Linked DNA regions of Drosophila melanogaster. The protein of the gene in region 3 interacts with the protein of the main gene of each other region in a pairwise test. Each region holds a gene or a part of one and is shown on either strand. Other genes may lie near its edges.

Evidence for each region.
Region 1: the proteins of alc (region 3) and CG15482 interact in a two-hybrid assay, tested with the Drosophila melanogaster proteins (one large-scale study listed by BioGRID).
Region 2: the proteins of alc (region 3) and CG14879 interact in a two-hybrid assay, tested with the Drosophila melanogaster proteins (one large-scale study listed by BioGRID).
Region 4: the proteins of alc (region 3) and Fdx2 interact in a two-hybrid assay, tested with the Drosophila melanogaster proteins (one large-scale study listed by BioGRID).

The regions. Positions count from the first base shown.
Region 1 is NT_033779.5:13,209,754-13,213,896, forward strand, and holds CG15482 (uncharacterized protein), read right to left. Parts: upstream 2,062-4,143; 5' UTR 2,029-2,061; coding exon 1,099-2,028; 3' UTR 1,020-1,098; downstream 1-1,019. Other genes in the region: Pect (phosphoethanolamine cytidylyltransferase), read left to right, coding at 1-92, 158-475; kek4 (kekkon 4), read right to left, coding at 2,904-3,190, 3,256-4,143.
Region 2 is NT_033777.3:16,344,856-16,351,584, forward strand, and holds CG14879 (uncharacterized protein), read right to left. Parts: upstream 4,372-6,729; 5' UTR 4,030-4,371; coding exon 3,926-4,029; intron 2,674-3,925; coding exon 2,238-2,673; 3' UTR 2,201-2,237; exon of another isoform or gene 1,278-2,200; intron 1,144-1,277; 3' UTR 970-1,143; downstream 1-969. Other genes in the region: pad (poils au dos), read left to right, coding at 1-9, 71-272, 334-549; Manf (mesencephalic astrocyte-derived neurotrophic factor), read left to right, coding at 4,656-4,743, 4,820-4,944, 5,031-5,172, 5,562-5,728; CG10311 (uncharacterized protein), read right to left, coding at 6,275-6,375.
Region 3 is NT_033778.4:9,134,306-9,139,894, forward strand, and holds alc (alicorn), read right to left. Parts: upstream 3,629-5,589; 5' UTR 3,295-3,628; coding exon 2,647-3,294; intron 1,691-2,646; coding exon 1,460-1,690; intron 1,401-1,459; coding exon 1,254-1,400; 3' UTR 1,070-1,253; downstream 1-1,069. Other genes in the region: Hydr1 (alpha/beta hydrolase 1), read left to right, coding at 1-748.
Region 4 is NT_037436.4:4,290,713-4,294,665, reverse strand, and holds Fdx2 (ferredoxin 2), read right to left. Parts: upstream 2,185-3,953; 5' UTR 2,043-2,184; coding exon 1,924-2,042; intron 1,836-1,923; coding exon 1,496-1,835; 3' UTR 1,234-1,495; downstream 1-1,233. Other genes in the region: dyl (dusky-like), read left to right, coding at 1-144; CG15012 (uncharacterized protein), read left to right, coding at 2,513-2,596, 2,657-2,791, 2,850-2,979, 3,043-3,152; Hexo1 (hexosaminidase 1), read right to left, coding at 3,487-3,553, 3,616-3,953. UniProt on the Drosophila melanogaster protein: Required for ecdysteroidogenesis in the prothoracic gland which is necessary for larval to pupal transition.

The DNA.
Region 1 (4,143 bases), on a different chromosome or scaffold from region 3:
TGCACACAGATCCCGTGGTGAACTCCTACAAGGGCAGCAACTATCCCATTATGAATCTGCACGAGCGCGTGCTCAGTGTTTTGGCCTGCAAGGTAGGATTGCAATAGATTCTTTTTTTTAAATATTATCTCATTTTAAAACTTCTTTTTTCCCCCAGTTTGTCAATGAGGTAGTAATCGGAGCTCCCTACTGTGTCACTGAAGAGCTGCTTGAGCACTTCAAAATCGATGTTGTCTGTCATGGACGCACACCCATTGCGCTTGAGAATGGCAAGATCGATCCATATGCCGTTCCCAAGACGCGAGCCATCTTTGAGCTGATCGATTCCGGCAACGAGATGACCACGGAGCGCATCGTGGAGCGCATCATCTCGCACCGACTGGAATATGAGCGTCGCAATCAGGCCAAAGAAAAGAAGGAAATCGAAGCCTTTGAGGCACTTCAACGCCAAAAACAGACCCAAAAGGCCGGCTAGCCGGAACCAGATTCCGACCTCTCACACTAGACGGATGTTTTTTATTTTCTAGTTGCGTTCTTTTAGTTTGTTTTATTTAGTTTGTCTTGTTTAGTATGTCGTCCCCTGATGATGGCGCTTTAATTTTTTGTTGCGTAAAAAGCGAAGCGACGCTGCCTGAGGATTCAGCGCACCGCTCTCTCGATTTCTAGTACAATTTTAGAATATCTGCACATGCGCCTTAATGATATAAGGTTATACACATAATTATATATTTCTAACACATTAACGTAGAATATTTAAAATCTAAATTTTATGTATGTAAGCTCAAAATTTGTAAATTCCCTTTAAAGTACGATGTAAGTGTGAGGAACAACAAAATTGTACGAATAGCATGTTATCCAAACTGTTGCCGAATTGAAAAGCCTTGTACGACTTGTATGTATATATATTCAGCAACGGAAGTAGGATGCCTGGATCAGGAAGTAGCTGCTTTTATCAAATGTAATCTCTGATACTTTGTCCTAATTTATTAATGCATATAGTAAGTGCGAGTTCAAGTTTTATGTTTCCTTGTTTAATCTTAGACTTAAATACATGGCCAAAAATATTGCGAATTCCAAAAAAAAAAAAAACCGGAAGTTTTATATACTTGCCTCGCTAATCACTTTCAGTTCGACGGTTAGCGATTGCTGCCAAACATCTAAATCCATTAGTGGCCGGAGGTCATTCAAGCTGATGAGGATCACGTTGCTGTCGGTCTTGATGAACTCACTGCAGGATTGGTTCGACGACAGTGGCAGCATTGGACGAGCTTTTATCTGTCTGGTGTAGTAACGTGGCAGGTTGGCAGGTTGGACCAGCAGGCGCAGAGTGATGGCCACGCCGTGCAAAGGAGTAGCCACCCAGATGGCCAGGACTTCGTGTTTGACACGCTTCCTTTCCCACAGCACCGAGTGCATGGTGCGGCAGGCGAAGATCATAAGGGCGCTATGCTGCGAGAAGCGGCGGTACTCCACTGGCAGATGGGTGTTTCGGTGACATTTCAGAGGATTAAGGCCAGTGCGCCGATAGCCATAGACCCCCAGCAGGGTGTTGACATCTCTTTCCAGGCTACTAATATGACATGTTAGTGACACTCGCTTGCCCATTTCCAGTTCATAAAACGGAACTCCCATTCCCGGCAGATGGTCACTCAAATAGTGACCCAACAGAGCGCTGGGGTCAACCGAGCATAGGCATCCGTGACATGGGCATGCCACCAGGCGCAGTCGGCTCCACGGCGAATCGCTAGATGTGGTCGCAGTGCTCTTCCTGCTGCTGGACGGCTGCTCGGTCAGCGATTCGAAGTTCTGCAGTTTGAGGAGCAGCTGATCCTCGGGAGCTGGCGCGGCCACCGATGCCGGCAGTCTGTAGTTGGAAAAGTGTTTCGTGTACAGCAAATCTTGCATTTCCTGCAGGCGCTGCTTTCGCCTCTCCTGACGCTTTCGATTCCGGCTCAATCCATGGATGGGAGATTGATCTTTGCCGGAATCGGCGGCCTGGTTGGTACGCGAGGTAAATGGCGCAGTCATTGTGGTAGGTAATCAGGCTTGCCAAAACGACATAATTTTGATAAGAAACTAGACAGATAGACAGATACTAGCAACTTTTGAAAGTCTACTGTGTTGACAAGTAGATCCTTTTGATTTTATAATAGTTAAATATTTATTATTCAGTTGGGCCGAAATCCCGGCGGTACTGCAATACCGGGCCAACCCGCGACAGAGGTGGAGCAAGCCCCTAGCACTCCGTCTGATTCCAAAAATCAGTTTAACATTTGTTGTCCTCCAATGGAGGAACTATCAGATGTTAAGCTGATAAGAACAGATACTACACTTTGATCTTAGCCATAAGGCCGAGAAGCGATAACTTGAAACGGAAAACGAAAAGGGTCTCCATGAGCAAACGGCCAGAAGCAGTTGGGAATTGTAGCACACACAAGAATGAATTCGGGGTAGGTCAGGGATGATAGAACGTAGAGTACGGTAAAAGTGGGTCAGGTAAATAAAATCAAACGATTTACTAAAAATGCTTTTTAGAATTCGATGATAATATAAGATTAATTCAAGTAAGCTACACATTTTTCATTTAAAGGCATCACTTAAAACTTTATTATTACATTCCTTTCACTTAAAGTGCGTGGGTTAAAACACTTAGAACTGTGTAAATAAATATTTTTATATATTAGTAACGTTTTAAAATACATAATTTACTACCAGAAATAAGGCGAGGTATATTTCTTCTTGACTGGATCTCCTTTGTCCATCTATCTCCTGGAGGTCTTAGAGAGGTAGGGCTGGATATGAATTGAAATCCTGGCAAAGACTAAAATTTCAATGGCATGGGGTTTACGGTGGATTCGCAGCTGTGTATGGTGGGAAATGCCATATTATAAAACATTAATATATTATATTGAGATATCAACACCAGTAATGGGTTCTTTAGTACTGATATTCTTTATTCTAACACTGCCGTACTTCTCCTTTAGGTACTTTTGCACATTGGTATTGTACTTGCTTCGGGGATTAACTTCTGCTTTTTTCGCTGATGGACCGAAAGTTTCATTAATATTTTTTAAGGCAGTAGGTTGAGTGGAAGGCAAAAGGTCCGGTTGGAGTTCATCGATTTGTCCCTTCTTTCTTGAGCAGCCTGTTGATTGCAAGGAACTCTGCCGGGAATCCTTATCGAGCTCATCTAAGTAGGAGAAAAACAAGAATAAGTTAAAATTTGAGCACTAATTTTATTTGGCATTTTATTGCCTTTCTGTTTGAGCTCTTCCTTTTCCCGGTCACCAGCTATATTTGAATAGAGCTCCCGATTCCGCGATGAAATGGATTCCGCCTGATTGTCTAGATTTTCAGTATATGTGTTGCTGTTTAATCTCACGTCTTTATAATTTCTCGTGTGCATATACTCGCTGCCATTCGAATTGGATGTTTTAAATAAAGTGTAATTTTTATTTGATGGTTCATTGATAGCACTTAATGGATCCAGCACTATTTTACTTTCCCTTATAACTCCAGAACTTAGGGCGCTGATGGCGGTGGCTTCTTCACTGCCAGGTGACTGAACGGGCAAACTAGTGGGTTGCAAATAAGTGTGCTGGCCGGGATGGAACTGCTTGAATCTCTTAAATATTAGGCATGTTACCAACGAAAATAGAATCGACATGCTGAGAAAACCCATGGCTATAAGGCAGACTATTGCAAAGAAGTTGCTGTCGATGAGGGAAATCCTTTCCATATCCTTTTGCACCACCACACTTATGTGAACCGAATCCTTGCCACCGGGATTTTCCGCCAGACAGGTATAGACGCCCTCATCGCTCTTACGGGCATTAACTATCGTTAGACGTGACACAAAAACATCATGTCCGAATTTTCGAATCTTTGATTCATCCTCACGCAACAGTTCTATGTAGATGCGCTGCTTTTGCAGACTTTTCACCGGCTTGGAGCGGGATTCGTATACTTGATTGGTGTAATCCCAGGCAATAACCGTATTGGGAGATCCGTGGACGCGACATATAAGCGTTACGTTCTCCTTGGAAGTGTTGATGGAAGTACTGAGTGTTGGATACACAATCTTCGGCTTGCAGGCAAACGCCTCCGGCTGATCCTCGATCCACAGACGACCACGTAACTGCA
Region 2 (6,729 bases), on a different chromosome or scaffold from region 3:
GCATAGGCGGTCAGCATTTATATACATCTAGTTAAATTCAACAGAGATTCATAAATATCCTTTCTTTCAGAATTCACACGCAGACATCAACCGAAACCTTATACTGTTGCGATGTTTGCAACAAAAACTTTGCCACCAAGTTGCACTACGAGAAGCATCGGGAGATGCATAAGAAAATTCGACCGGAAAGCGCGGCTCCGGGTGCAACTGCATCGCCTGCAGCAGCACCTGCGCTAACTCACGTTCGAAGCAATGGTCAGGTGCCCAATAAGGTGAGTCCGTAATACCATTCATATTTTAAAAGTGCTAATCCGACCTCTCATCGCATCCAAGGCGGTTTTCGAAATCAAACAAGAACGTTCTGCTCAGCAGACGCAAACACAGCAGCCACCGGCCCAGGTAATGCATGTTGTGACTACCCAGGATCTGGCCGGAAACACAATAACGATCACACAAGCTCCCGACTCCAATATGCCCGGATCTCTGGCCAATTACGTCCAGCTGGGCTTTTCTCAGTTCCAGAATCCCAGCGCATCAGTCGCAAAGTAATTAGTCCTTAAGCTCGAAAAGTGAATCCACCTTACCTCGTATCCTAGTCCGCGGTCTATTCCAACATCTGGTCGCCAGTTCCTTGTATTGTATAGTTTTCGGTAAATTTTCCTTTTAATTTTCTTTGTGCAATATTATTTATAGCAAATTTGAAGCGCGTTTTCACGTTTCTTTTATTTCCTTAACTTATTTTAGTGTTATATGTGTTATTCTTTTTATCAGTAAATCGCAAAAGTTTTATTAGCATAAGTCCCTAGAGCGTTTGTGTAAAGATTCCTATTTTAAGGATAATTGTAAGGCATTGTAAATATCTGTGTATCTATTATGTATGTACAAGCTGTAGCTGTAAACAATGGTAAAAATACCTTTTTTGGGTGAAGAAAATGATTCCATTGCAAAAATAAATATAATGTATAATTTATGGCAAAAAAATTAATGTGTATTTCGTTTGGTATTGCATAGGAGCCTTTAGTTTTGTAGCGCTATAAAGCAGATGGCAGGCCCCAATGTTTACGCAAATATTTTTGGTAAGACTCTTCTCGCTGAAAGTATGAATATCAGACGGTTATTTTATTCCAGGGGTCGGCCAGATTTCTGAAAGATTTTCGAAAGAGCACGTAATTCTAAATCTACCATGCGAACAAACGAAAAACAAATGCAAGCATGTTTCCCATCGGTTTCCGAACAAAAATTTATTAGCATTTAAGAATACCAATTCCAATGAATTTGTGTTTACGCATTTAATTTGTGGAAAACGCACTTGTCATGCGATTTTTAATACTTGGCGTGGTCTGTATACATATGTATGTAGGTATTACAGGTAAAGCTAACACTTACATTGTAGGTTTACAATCTGAATGGAAGACTTTAGCAAGCGCGAAACAGAAACTCAAGGTGTATTATACATAAAATTCTTTGGCCTTACAAATACGTTTGCTATCAACTACAAACAAAGAAACAATTAGCAACTGCAAAGGATAGCAATAGGACATAGCAGAGCTAAAGTGACGTCATAAGACAGATAGCACCGAGGTGAGTGATATGTGACTGACATATATATGTATGTATGTAGTCCGTGAATGTGTGTTTGTTAATGCTGATTTGGTTTATCAAACAATGGAATATTATCAAACTCTTACGGCATCATAAAGATATAAGTGGAAAACGCTGCAATCCAGCAATACTATTGAAAATGATATTGCCTTATGTTGCAAGAAATGGGGCATAAAACCTATTCAAATGCCAATTAAAATTTTGAGTACTTTTAAAATTTTAAACAATTTAACATAGAACGTAAAGAAAACAGGTGTTTCAATTAAATTTTTGAGATTTTTGCAAATAAATAAATATTGGTTTAATACTGTTAAAAAACCACAATCATCTTGATGGGAAAATGTTTCTTAAGCCCACGATCAACAAGAACTTGTAGTCAAATTATAATGATACTCAACGCATTAACAAGCGAAGGAGTGAAAGCGTGTTGCTACTGCAGCGAAGTGATTTAGATGGGTGCGGAATCCAACAAACTAATTAAAACTACAGGTGAGGGGATTAAGGTCGTGCGGTGTTAGGACTAAGGACGCCCGCCACCGAACTTGAATCTATGCGATTGAAGAAAGAATGCATTAAATAAGAGAACATTGCGGGCTACCTTGGGGATCATGGGATCTTTGGGATTCTTCTCCCGATCAGTTGTAGCTTAGGGCAAACTGGTTGACCTTCTGTACATCGCCCCACACCTGTACAGCCTGGATGTCGGACAGGGAGAAGAGAGTCTCGTACTCGGTTATGAAATTGTGGCCCGAATCCCTACCCTGGTACACCCGCATCATTGAATTTGCGTAGTCGAAGGCGAACTCAAGGCAAAAGGAGGACTCTGTGGATGAAAGTTGGAGCGCCTCGTCAATTTCGGTTATAATGCGGGCAAAGCTTTCTGTCATATTGGGGTTCTTATCGCTAGCTCCTGTACCGTCGAAGATGTTCAGGTACTTCTCCTGGTGCAGGCTGCTCCACTCGCCGTTCCGCTTATAATTCTCGATAATCGTCTGTGTGGGAATCACCACCTTGAAGTGGTATGTGATGTTGTCCGTGCAGTCCGGACTGTTGACAAAGTTCACCGAGAATCTGTAGCGGAGGTAAACATACAAATGCTTGTTAAAAAAATCAGATGTATATGTCTCACTTAGGTGCTAATGAACTAGCTACTAGCTAAAAATTAACTTAATACGTGCCTAGCGACATAGTCTTCACTATGCATTTGATCAAAGGCGGTAAATAGCAAAGTGTGAATGAAGTAAATATGATATGCATATTTTATATTCAATAAAATCACAAGCACTAGTAGTACCCTCGCTTAAAGCGATATAACTTATCACATATCAGTGCTAATGACGTCGTTATTTGATTGTTTGACCCCCTCAAGCGCTTAGTCATCAGAATTGTTTAAATGGCACATGCTGGTTCGGTGAGTTTTTTTCTTTCGTTTTTGGGGACCGGAGCTCCCAGACATTAATAGTGAGTGTGAGTAGGCGCGAAAACGTGCAGCGCATTCAAGGAACGGAATTGGAATTTTCAGCGATTTATTGTTAAAAATCCGTTAGTCAAGCTATGGAATTTCCAGTAAGTTATGCCCCTTATCGAAATACAAGAGCTACTAGTGTCACGGAATATTATCATGACACATTTAGGTAGCTATCACTAGAACCTTATCGATCTAAAGAACAGATAAGAAATGTATTGTCTTGATTTATCAATTGCGTTGAAATTGTTCAATTAGAAACCCGGATTCTTGAGTGATGTAACTGATGGTTCTGATTAATGGACATCATTTGACCATTCATTCATAAGCTGATTAACAACTTCCCACCCTCAAGCATACATAATTCATGGTATTATTCTTTGCCATCCAACTGGCTTGTTGTTTTCTTCATAGCCGGCATCTTCAGCGCGTGTCTGATTCAATTTTAGTCTGGTGATGTCATATACGATGGACTTGATACAGTAAAACCAGACGACTACGTATACATCTGGCAGAGATTTCTTTATGGTCCCATCACCACCGCCTTATCGCCCTAATAGATCATAAACTCATAAGAGGTCTTTGGAATTTATAAAAAACAAACATCATCTGGCAGAAGAAGTATAAATTATTTAAATTCATGAGCCCATTTGCATGTTTTTTGTGTGCGCCATAAATTGTTCGCGAGTTTGGTGAGTATTTCGTCTAATCGGGTCACATACGTAAACGATTTTAAGAACACTATATTTATATTTTCAGCACGCAAAGAGGCAATTTCTCCACCTCAGTTCGCGGGAAGTGGCTAATCGATTTTCTTAAAGTTCGCGGAATTTAAACGCGAAATATCAAAGGACTCACTGCTGGGGATCCTGGAGCAGGTTGCCGCTGATGGACAGCCGGGTTACTCGATCCGAGGTACTGGCATTGGTGGGCAGCACGGCAAAGAACTTCACATCAGGCATTTTAAACGATTTATTATAATGGGCTGCTTCTTTTCCGTTTTATTTTTAGCAAGGTGTGTAATTGCAAATTTTATCCGGATAATTGTAAATACGTTTGCTGTGGCAGTTGCCAACGGTTACAATAACTCCAAATAGCCGAGGGAGTAGTGAGCACTTGGACGACTTGGTCAATACTGTTGGCGATTACACAGATACGGTGCTATATTAAGGGACTGGAAGAGGATTAAGTCCAAGACTACGTCACGGGCAACGTGCAGTCGAGCATATTTGCTTAGCTTTAACTAATTTAAATAATTCCACGACGCGCAGTTCCGTTCGCATTCGCGCGTGATTGAAAACTGAGCAGGAGTGCCTCTGCGTAAAACGGAGCAGCTGAGCGATCCCCACACCTGTTAGCCAGTAAATTCCGGACCCCGATAGTATGACCATATCGGTTGTTTTCCAATTTGAAAACGTGGCGCTGCCCCGCCGATAAATGAGTACTTTTATCGATGCCTGACCTATCGGTGAACACCCATATCTACGGCCACCTAACGCTAACAATTCGGGGACAAAATCAAATCGCATGCAAAGAATTCAGTACAGTTAATTAAAGTACGCTCAAGCACAGTCGAAGTAATAACAAAATGAAGACGTGGTACATGGTGGTAGTGATCGGCTTCCTGGCGACGTTGGCCCAAACGTCGCTGGCCCTGAAAGAGGAGGACTGCGAAGGTATGTGATTGGCCACGTAAGTGGTTGAGATGTTCTGGAACAGATTTTCACCGGGCTCCATTCTTTCGTTCCGCAGTTTGCGTCAAGACGGTTAGGCGGTTCGCAGATTCGCTGGACGACTCCACCAAGAAGGACTACAAACAGATCGAAACGGCCTTCAAAAAGTTCTGCAAAGCGCAGAAAAACAAGGAACACAGATTCGTGAGTAGCCGGCAAACAAGTGCCGCCCCCTCTCCCTCACTTCCTATTCTCTGGGAAAAATGATACACGTATGCGTTTCTTCGTAGTGTTACTACCTCGGCGGTCTGGAAGAATCCGCCACGGGCATCCTCAACGAGCTGAGCAAACCCCTCAGTTGGTCCATGCCAGCTGAGAAGATCTGCGAGAAGCTGAAGAAGAAGGACGCACAAATCTGCGACCTTCGCTATGGTAAATATTTTAGTTAGGAACTATACATATATAGGAAGTGTGGGTATACAGAATTCAATATGAAGCACCTAGCATTTCTTGGCAAAAGGAAAGAATTCAGGAATACAATTTCGCATGTATGCTTTACTATTATATCATAGCTTGTTAAATTATTTTGTGGTAACTCGCATAAAATTCTACATTTTATGAGATAGGTCTGTTTGTAAAATGAATGTTAATGGTTTAGATTATTAGAAAACGTTAATCGTCATTTACTAAGAGTCAATTAATCTAGGGTGTCTATTAGAAACAAAAACTCTTAACTTGGCTTAACATTTAGCTTTTCTGTCGCTGCTCTTCGCCTTAATATACTTCTATAAACATTTATTTATGTGGATTGTTCATTGCAGAGAAACAAATCGATCTGAACAGCGTGGACCTGAAGAAGCTGAAGGTACGCGACCTGAAGAAAATCCTCAACGACTGGGACGAGAGCTGTGACGGTTGCCTGGAGAAGGGCGACTTCATCAAGCGTATCGAGGAGCTGAAGCCCAAGTACTCGCGCAGCGAGCTGTAGAGCGCAGTCAGTTACTTGTGTAGTTACATGGAACACGCCCACTTAGCTAAAACAACAACCACATGAAACGCCCCCTACACATCCATATTTTTAGTTAATTTACAATTTTGATAGACTTTGAGAGAATTGAATATAACTATATATGCCTAAAGATAAAACCTATATTTTGAAATAAAAAACAACAAACACACAAGACCTCGTCCTCTCAAACGGTTGATAAATAGTTTGTTTTTATTTTTGTTATTAGTTTTCGGTTTTTGAACTCCTCTTTCACAATTACAAGTATTACGTACAAATTACAACAGAAATTCACATAATATCTGGATTAAAGTTTTATTTAAATGTTAAATACATAATTCCATTGCACTTAATGCCACGGGCCGCGTAAATTCGATGTGAGCGAAGGGCTGGCTCGCCTCAACTAAATTATAATTATTAGTTAGACATAATCACTAAAAACGAACATAGGAAGCTAGGATGAAGATGTGTGGGTGGTGGATTCAGCTTCTTGAATGCAATTTCTGATGAATAGTGCTCCTGGAGATTCTAGCGACGGTACGGCTGCTTGTTGTAACGACCGCGCTCGTTCTCCTCGGACAGGTTGGCGTATTCACTATAGACCACGCACCAGCAATAGGTCATAATCGCTGAAAGATGGAGGAGGAACATTGGGTTAGGGCATGTGCGCGCAAAAGAGTGCTGTCATTTTATATTCTACATGAATTGCATCCGATTTTACACGATGTAATGTAAATTGACTTTTAACTCGTATGTGGTTCATTTTCGGTAAGCACTTAATTTTTATCAAATTTAATATGCAAATTTGTAAAACTTGAAAAATATCATTTTTCAAAAGTAAAAAAAAAGCGAGGAATATATGTATAAACCTGAAGCATTCACAATGTGATTCGGTTCTTTAACTTTTATACCGCTGAATTAATACAATTAAATTTGTTTGATTCATTTAATGAGCTTATTTAACAATCGTATAGCTTTCCCAA
Region 3 (5,589 bases):
CAAGCTGGGAGCCACTGGGATCTCAATGGGCGGCTTGATTCTGGGCAATTATTTAGCCCGCAAGAGCGACGAGGCCAGGAGCTTCCTTTCGGCTGCAAAGATAATATCTGTCCCTTGGGACGTCCACAAGGGCAGCGCTAGCATCGAGAAGCCAGTGATCAACAGCCTGCTGGGACGCCACTTGGCTGGAAGCCTATGCCGAACCTTGCGCAATCACCTGGACATCTACAGGGATATTTACCAGGACTCTGACATTGATATTCAGCGCATTCTGCGCTGCAAGACGATCAAAGAGTTCGACGCGCTTTTTACGGCTAAGCAGTTCGGATATGCCCATGTGAATGACTATTACTCGGATGCCACGTTGCACAACAAACTCGATCACATTTCGGTGCCGCTGCTTTGCCTGAGCGCCGCCGATGATCCGTTCCAGCCACTGGATGCCATTCCCATCAAGGCGGCCAACCAGTGCACCCATGTGGCCATCGTGATTACGGCTCGTGGCGGGCACATCGGCTTCCTCGAGGGCTGGTGGCCGTCCACCAAAGACCAGTACATGGGCCGCCTCTTCACGGAGTACTTCACCAAGGCGCTGTTCGACGAGGATGGCGAGTTCCAGCACACGGCCAACAAGATGCACGAGCGATTCTTGGCCAAGCAGACGGTGGCGCTGGCCTCCTCGTCACCGGTGCTGTTCGCCAAGAAGATCGACGCCGATCAGTTGGACCACAAGGTCAAGCTGATGTGAAGCTGGTCGGTCGGTCGGTCGGTCGGTCGGTCCGCTAGTCTAGTTCAGTTTTTGTCCAGTTGAACACGTAGATATACGAGAATGTTTGTATTCCGATAGATTGCCGTCGGCGAAGACTCTTGTACACATGTGATATGAAACGTTGATCAAAATCCAAAGTGTTGTTATACTTATATACAGCGAACAGGGAACCAAATTATCAGTCAGTCAATATGCATAGTTGCTTAAATTACTCTTAGATCGTGACTTTAGTGACATATCAGGTTGAAATTGCAAATAAGCTGTACGATTCGTAGTAAATTCAAATACAAATTACAAATTATGACACAATGCAATAATCTTATATTTTTACAAGTTCCGTATATTTATAACTAATAAAAATACAACGCTTAATAGAGAGAAAACTAAAACACTTTTACTCATAATAAGGTAAATTTGACAAGCGGGACGTGGTATCCCTCATAAAAACCATGTTCCTACAGCTAAAATACCAATTGCGAGTTGCCTAAATGGGCTTGTACAGCAGCGTGGTGACGTACTTCTTGCGATACCTGTGCGTGGCACTCAGGACCATGACGCCATCCTTGATAGACAGGGCGTACAAGTGGTTAAGCATCACGTGGTTGGGTTCCGGCAGCAGAGTGGGTTCACACTGAAACAGAATAGGGTAAGGTTACGGTCGGTAGCTCTCGAGACAGCGACAATACCCACCGATAGCGGTGTATCCTTGTTGAGGATGACCTGGAGCAGATGGGGCGGCAGAACGGGCGGGCCAGATACCTTCTCCCAGGGCTTCACCTGCGGCACCTCCTGCGAGTACTCCTTCTCCGCATAGTTGGTCACGTTCTCGCTGTCTTTGGCTAGGGCCTGGAACACCTCGAAATCGGATTCTCGCACGGACACTAAGTTATTTCTCTGTCCCTCGGCGTTCTCCACGCTTTTCTAAAATAGCAAACCGATAAGCTATAATCAAATTGTCTGTAACAATAGTTTGGGCAATTGGGACAATATCTGCAGGCCTCGGGTTGAGTTCAATAAAACTCATGAAACTTGATAGCTGAGTTTGCGATAAAACAAAAATTGGGCAATACTTCATGAAAATGTGGCTGGGCAATGACTGCTTTCTATAATTAATAACGTACTGTTGCTACTTGTTTCGAGCAATTTTGAATTATATACAACAATTTGGCTTGCTACATATATATATAATACAAAAATTTGTTCAATGGTTTGCTTTCGTTTTGCTTACTAATTTAAATGTCAGATAAACTACATTATTTATTAGTCATTAAAACCATTATGGTTTAAATACGTGAGCTTCGTGAACTATTCTTAATAAAGATTTAAAGTCTGTGCATTTAGTAATTCATTTCTGATTGCTTTTCGTCTTCATGCAATTCTGCAACTATTTTAACATTGCGAAGTAGGTCATATATTCTATCACAGTCCTGAACTTTGTTATCCAGAAAAATATTTTATCTAAGAAAACGTTACTATTCCCTTAAATCTTTTCTATAGTTCAAATTGTTCGCCTGATAGCAATGTTCAATGGTCACTTAGATAAACTGTGTCCACAAAACTAGCGACATCCAACCGGATTTAGTAGTAATCTACAAATGGGTTTTATCGCAGTTTGCTCCCTTAAACTTGTAACTTTAATTGCATTTGTTATTTGCGAAGCATTTGAACGGGGTTCCTCAAAAAAAAAACAAAAAAAAAGCTAAAGCCGGATGAGCATCTCTGAACCCAATTGAAATCCACTACGATTACTGGGAGACTTCGTTTTGTTTACGGCGATTACACAACCCGGGGCGAAAATCGGTAACTGCGTCATTCGGGCGCCCGAATCAAAAACACTGAATAGCCTGCTGCATATATTGATTTTCCGCCCAACTGACCAGCTTGGGATCGTGCTTCCACTCGCCGTCCACGCAGAACTTGTACTGATGGTCGCCCTCCGGCAGATCTATGATGGTCACGAAGTTCTGATGGCTGCGCACCATGGCCATGGGCTTCCAATCGGAGAATGTGCCCGAGATGGTGACGTTCTTGCCGCCGCCGTCCCACCGCAGAACTGTGGGCAGTGCCGTCTTCCGGATGTCGTCCTCATCGCCGGTTAACTGAGATCCAGTCGCTGGCTCCGCTCCTACCGCTGCCTCCTCCTCCTCCTCGTTGTTGTCCATGCTGGAGTGGTCTCGGGTAACAGCTGATGTCGCGTCGTCGTGTGCGGTGCCTCGTCTAGTGGATCCAGTTCCAGTTCCCGTGTAGTACGGGTCGTCGTCTTCTTGCGACGAGCCCTCGTTCAAGACTGCCGTATGTTTTTTGTCGAACGAGAAAGCTTGGCCTCCGCCGCCTCCTCCTCCACCCCCCGCAGCTCCCACCGCCCCCGCTGCAGCGCCCAGAGCTGCTGCGCCAGCACTCCCGCCCTGTCCCGCTCCTCCTCCACCAATCGAATCGCGGAAATGTGCGGGAGAGCTCGGCGTGGACAAGTCGGTCGACTTGTGGCGCTCGCGTTGCATGTGCACGGAGGAGCTGGCGTTGCCCATGCTTATTGCCGTACTCGCTGGCTCGTCGGCAGGTCACGGACCGAGTATAATGATTGGATTTGGACTGGGTTCGACTGCTCCCTTTGTTTGGCACTTTATACTTCGCTTTAAAATGGACTCGCGTTTTTCGTTGGATTACTCTAGTACTCTGATCACATCACCGTTCGTGGCTCGAAGTCTGTGTGTTGTATTTGGCATTTAGTAGGCAGAAAACTGCATTATTTAATCGTTTGTTTCGTAGAAAAATTGCTAATTATAAACATTTACATATATACACAGGCAGTATATTCGCAGTTCCAATTGGCGAGAGCACACGCAGGGTTGCTTTCCCGTGAGTTCAAAACAAAGAAGTTATCGGGCGACAGCACACAGTGTGCCGCCCTGGTCTTAGCAGCTGTGACCGTTATCGGAGCTGCCACTCGATTTGAATTTATAGTTAGGTTGAATGTTCTGAAAATTAAAGTGTCATGGGTTTCCAGCACCTTCAGAAAGTTAAGATTACGTGGAATTAGATTAAAGTGGCAGCCACTCATTAAAGATTTTTAAATTCATAGCAACATTCTTTCAATTCTTATCATTTCAAGACAATAGATTGCATCGGTGAATTGCTTGAGTTTAATCACTATCCCAAAGCTATCAACCAATTAATAAATAGGTTAATGAATCATACAATTTATCTATTTATTTATGAATTCAACAGAATTAATTCCACTGAATTATCGGCTGACAAATCCAGATTAAACGGGTAAAGAGTGCTTTCCTAGTCGACTATATTCCTGTAAATGCGTAAAACGAGCATTACAACAGCGGAAAACTGAGGGTGCAAAGTCCACGACAATCAACATGCATCGGAGCACAATAAAAAGGCAAAAGTGGAAAGGAAGACTAGGCAAGACCGAGAAGAGTGACAAAGAGCGAGGGCGGAAGTGCGGCGAGGACAAGGCTGATCTGCGATGAACACCAGGTAGAAGGTAAGTGTATCCACCGCACAGATTTAGCCAAAACAGTCCAAAACATATGTATGAAAGCAACTAAAAGAAACGGCGATCAAAACAAACAAATGTTTGGTACCAGTGTACCACAGATGTAGAAACCAGACGCTTTCCAGACTATGGCAGCACCCCAAGAAACTCTTGGAAATACTACTCATTGCTACACCGCACATATGACGTACACTTGGAGAAACAAGCACATTCCAAACAATGCGTATGTACCTAGTTATTTCATTACAAGGAATTGAATTTAATGTACCCAAAGTTAAGCAGTAGCATTTAGTATTTATGTTTTCTGGATATATTAACTGAATGAATAGGAAACTTGTACCTAAATCCATTTCAGATCCGTGCCATTTCTTCCAGTGCACGAGCGGCTTTCCCATGTGTGTGTGCTGCGTGGTAGCCACTCACACAGCGGCAAAACACGACGCCTTCGCATTTAAAATTGATTAAAACTAAAAACACTCGATGCCGACGCCGTGCCTTGTTTCGTTTTCAGTGCGATCGCAGACATTGTGCAAAACGGTTCACAGTTCTCTCCTCGCGACTGCAGGTGATCGAGTTTTTTTCGTTTGAGTGCACTAAAAAAAAACAGAGCAAGCGCAGCAACTGGAGTTGGAGTGAAGCCCCAGGAGTCACGTCCCTTTCGAAGTCGAGTGAACTAAGCATTTAAGGTAGGTCAGTTGGATGGTTGGCTACAATGGGTTGACCTCGCCCGGTTATTAGTCTCGGTTCACTTTGCATTTGGTGCTCTTCAAGGTCCGCAGCCCGCTTATCTGGCCACGTCCGACTAACCCATTGATCGGAGCCCAGAAGGCCCGGCGGAGTCCCAAACAACTTAACTATTTCCCATGGCTCCCGAGGGCGGCGCGTGTTTGCGCCGATTCTCGACCACGTTATCAGCGATCTGCTTAGCCAGTGAACTGTTCTGAACTGCTAATTGATAATATGTATGCGGCAACACCTACATATGTACATACGTATGTGTATACTTACATATTTAGATTCGAGTTGAAACTGCGTCGCATTTGCCACTTAGTTGCCGTTTTCCCAAAGCCTGTTTGATCAGCCTACTCTTCACACATACTCCCCTCCGGATGAAGCACAAAGAGCCTCCATCGGTGAAAAAAAAAAACAAGTATGAAGCTCCAAGATGGCCACTCCACCTGGAGCAGATACGATAATAATAGATGTATACCAAGAGCTTATCAATAGCCCGACTTGTTTTCCAACCGCACCTTAAATAAATTCAATTTGGATCGTACGACGGCCGGAGGAGAAGATCCCCGCACTTGGAAAC
Region 4 (3,953 bases), on a different chromosome or scaffold from region 3:
ATCTGCATGTCGGTGCCCAGCTTTGTGGGCGGATTGGTGATGCTGCTGCTCGTCCTGGCCGTCGCCTCTCTAGTCGCCGCCTTCCTCTTCGTCCGCGTGCGTCACTTCGATCGCAAGGGAGCGGGCATGGCCTATGTGAACTAAGGATCTGAAATCGGGCCAGAGGACCGGACCATCATCACCATCAACAGCGACCGATCGGCGTGAACAGAAAACCAAATCAGTTTTATGTGCACTTCAGAAACACTCATTCCAAACCCATTCCCCATAGGCACCCCCCATCCCATAACTATTTATTCTTTGGTTATTTATTGAGATCCCACAATCCGCCACTTTCAAATGGTTTCCTACTTTACCACTACGCTCTATCCTTCATATGTTTCCCTAGTTTTAGGCAAAGCGAAATTGAATTGTCAGACTTGTTAAGTTTCAGTTATACCTACGCGGGATTTGAGGCCATCTGAACGAACAGATTAGCCTCGAATGTTACAATATGCAAGTTAATAATATCGAGAAAATAAACACAAACGAAGTAATGAAGCGGCAAACATGGAAAGGCAGAAAATCGTTTACAATAAGTTAATATAGCAAATGTATATATTAAATTATTTATTTATTACTTTATTTGATAGCTGCGAAATAATAAAAAGTTTACTTTTATTAAGCGACAAGTGTTTTAATGCGTTCTAATAGTACCTCTGATTATCGGAGCTTGGGAACGACTGATAAGGAAACGCAAACAAAGCTAATGCAAACTTTATCAGTGTGATGAAATGTTTGTGTGGGGGGCTTTGATAACAGCCCTTGTGTTGGCCGTGACTGGAAGTTTTGGTATAAACAAAACAAGTTTGGCAAAACGAATGAATAGAATAAAGAATAATATGGTTCGCATTGTCATACAAGCGAGGCAAATAGGAATATAAAATACGATCATCTTGAATTTGCTAACTAATGATCATAAACCTGTGTTCAAAAGTATACTACACACTTTTATTAGAACTATGATGCCGAGGAAAATCTTTGCGTGTGCCTGTTTATTTGCCGAGCACAACTTCGAGATCATGAATACACGCAGAAAAACACTTTTTAGCTGAGATATTTAAAAAACAAGAATGACCGATTTAAAATCGGCTAGTTTTGCCAATAGAATTAAAAAGGCAAATGAATTATTGGTTAAAAATGATATCTACGCTGGATGCTTTCCTCCACAGTTTCAATAAAACCAAGAGAAGTACGAAAATACATGTAAATTTATTGCAACACACTTATTTACATATTGATCTAATCCCTTTGAGCTTAAACACTTTAAAAACAACAGCGGACGCTAATCCGCAACTGGAATCGGATTAATGCGCGCATCCATTATAGCCGCCTGAGGTTTGTGTCCCTGGGACAATACATACGATTTCGTTCAAAAATATTGACTACATCTAGGTTGAACTAAAGCGAATTAGCACTCAAATTTGTAACAATTGATAACAGTGGTGGTGTCTATCTACGCGGCACGTGCGTCATTGATGGTGGAGGGCACATGTACCTCCAGGCCCTCCATATCCTTGGACAGGGTGATCTGGCAGCCCAGCCGCGAGGTGTCCGTCAGTTCGTACGCCAAATCCAGCATGTCCAGCTCCTCATCACCGGGTTTGTCGGGCAGTTTCTCGAAATCGCTGGTCTTGAAGATCAGGTGGCAGGTGGAGCAGGTCAGCGTGCCCTCACAGGCCCCGAAACCATCCAGATCCACATTGTTGTTGACCACCACGTCCAGCAGGGAGTCACCCACTTTTCCGGACGTCTTAATCTTGTCCCCATTGGCACGCACGAAGGTTATGTTAACACTGCAATAGCGAGATTGGTCAATGTTTACGCTGCTCTGGCGGTGTGGAGCTACCATTGTAGTGCTCGTGGGGTGGAGAAGATACTCACACATCTTTCGTTTTCAGGGCCAATCCCGTCGAGAAAGTACGCGTTGCGATCGGCGATCGCAAATTGAGGCTGCGTAGCGCCAATCTGGAGGCAGCTCTGCATGAGTTTATGACTAGCATTCTGGTTAGGATTCCTTTGCAATCTCTTACTATAACTGACAACACGCACCCACTCGTGTCGCTGCGATCGGTTGTTAAATAATAAGGAAATCAATTAAATTTTGTTAAACGTGAAGTTGTGTGTGACCGTATTGGACTTTCTGAAAAAGACGTCGTGCCTTTAACGTACTAAAAAACAACAACAAACTGCATAAGCAGTAATTTTAAAGTTAAACATTTAAATGTTTGCACAAATTATTGCACAAAATATTTAATTAACAGCAACTTTCTTTTTATAACGGAGTTAATTTGTGTTACACAAAAAGTATATGTTACTGCTGCAGTTCAGGTGTGAACACACTAAATACTGAAACAGGGTTGCTACAGCGAGTGAAGAAACCCTGTATTCACCTGCAGACAGACAACCCTGTGCGTCAAAACAAGAAGATTTAAGAGTGGAATAAATTTAATTACGTTTTAAAACCTAAACAATGGGCGTGTTGGACAATATTGCGTTGCATTTCACGGGGGATGCGTCCAGGAACAGGAACACCTCCATAATAGCCGGACTTCTGGTAGGCTAACACCCGCAAACAAAGAGCCGCCCGCCTGACAGTGCAACTTTTTCTCCTTAGTTTTTCGCAGGATGGTGGGTTCTAATCGATGCCATGTCCATCGACGGCAAGCACCAGATTACCACAGGACACGTCTTCATCGGCATCTTCGGGACCATCAGCTTCTGCATGGTGAACGCAGTGAAGGGAGAACATGTAACACACACTTATCATTGGGCTTAACAAGTGACTCACTTCTTTTGTTTGTGCGCAGATTTCTGATGAGAACTCATCGGAGTCCGGCGCCAGGATAGCGAAGATCTGGCTGCTTGTGGGCTTCCTAATGGGTTTTGCCTCCATCATTGCCGCCATCTGGGTGATGATCGACGACTTCATCAACAATGGTGAGAAATAAACAGATATTTAAGGATTCCTTAGCTGAATTGCACCCACTTATCGTTTTTCAGAAAAGAAGGATGGCTGGTTTGGCGTGGCTCTGCTGATGCAAAACGTCTTCATCCTGTTCGCCAGTTTGGTCTACAAGTTTGGACGCAACGAGGAAGAGTGGAATGAGTAAAGCTTCCATTCAAATTATTGCACAAGGGAACGCAGCTTTTAGTATCTAGACTCATTACGTACATAATCAGGAGTCCAAGGAGTTTATGCTTGAGGCCGAGGACACCATCACTCGCAAATCCTCACCCCACACATTGAAGCGTAAAATGTCCAACTCTGCTACTGTTCATATTCGAAAAAATCGTCGAGTCTGTACGGATTTCCCTCACTATTTCCGACATTCTGCCGCTTTGAATCGGAAAAGGGCGCAGAGCAGGGCCAATAATCTCATTTATATTTAACAAAATAAACGACAAGTCACTTGCGTAAGGCCACCTTTGAGCTGTACTTTATTTTCAGGCAGAGAGCGTTGTGAGAAGCAACAGGACGATCAACCCAAGCCGCCCGCTGCCCCGACTACATCTACAAGGATAGCGACCGTTAAGAGAAATGGTTTAATAGCTGGTCAAACTTGTGCATCGTACGCGTCAATGGGACACTCGTGCTCGTTTTGCAGGCACCACTGCGGCTGCATGGCCTCTGCGCCCAGACCATTGTCCACCAGTCGCTGGCGGTGGAGCAGCAGACGTGACTCCGCCTGGCGCCAACCTTCGGCAGGATTTGACCAAAGTCGTTCGGCCAGGGCACTGGCCCTGGGCCAGAAGCGGTTGTCCAGTGTGTGCTCGTCGATCTGCTCTGACCAAATGGCTCCCTCCGCGCCCAATACATGATGCTCGTAGTCGCCGGCAATGGATTTCAAACTATTGTCGTACACCTTCTGCCAGCCAATGTAGGGGGAGCACCAGTTGTTTCCATCGGTCAC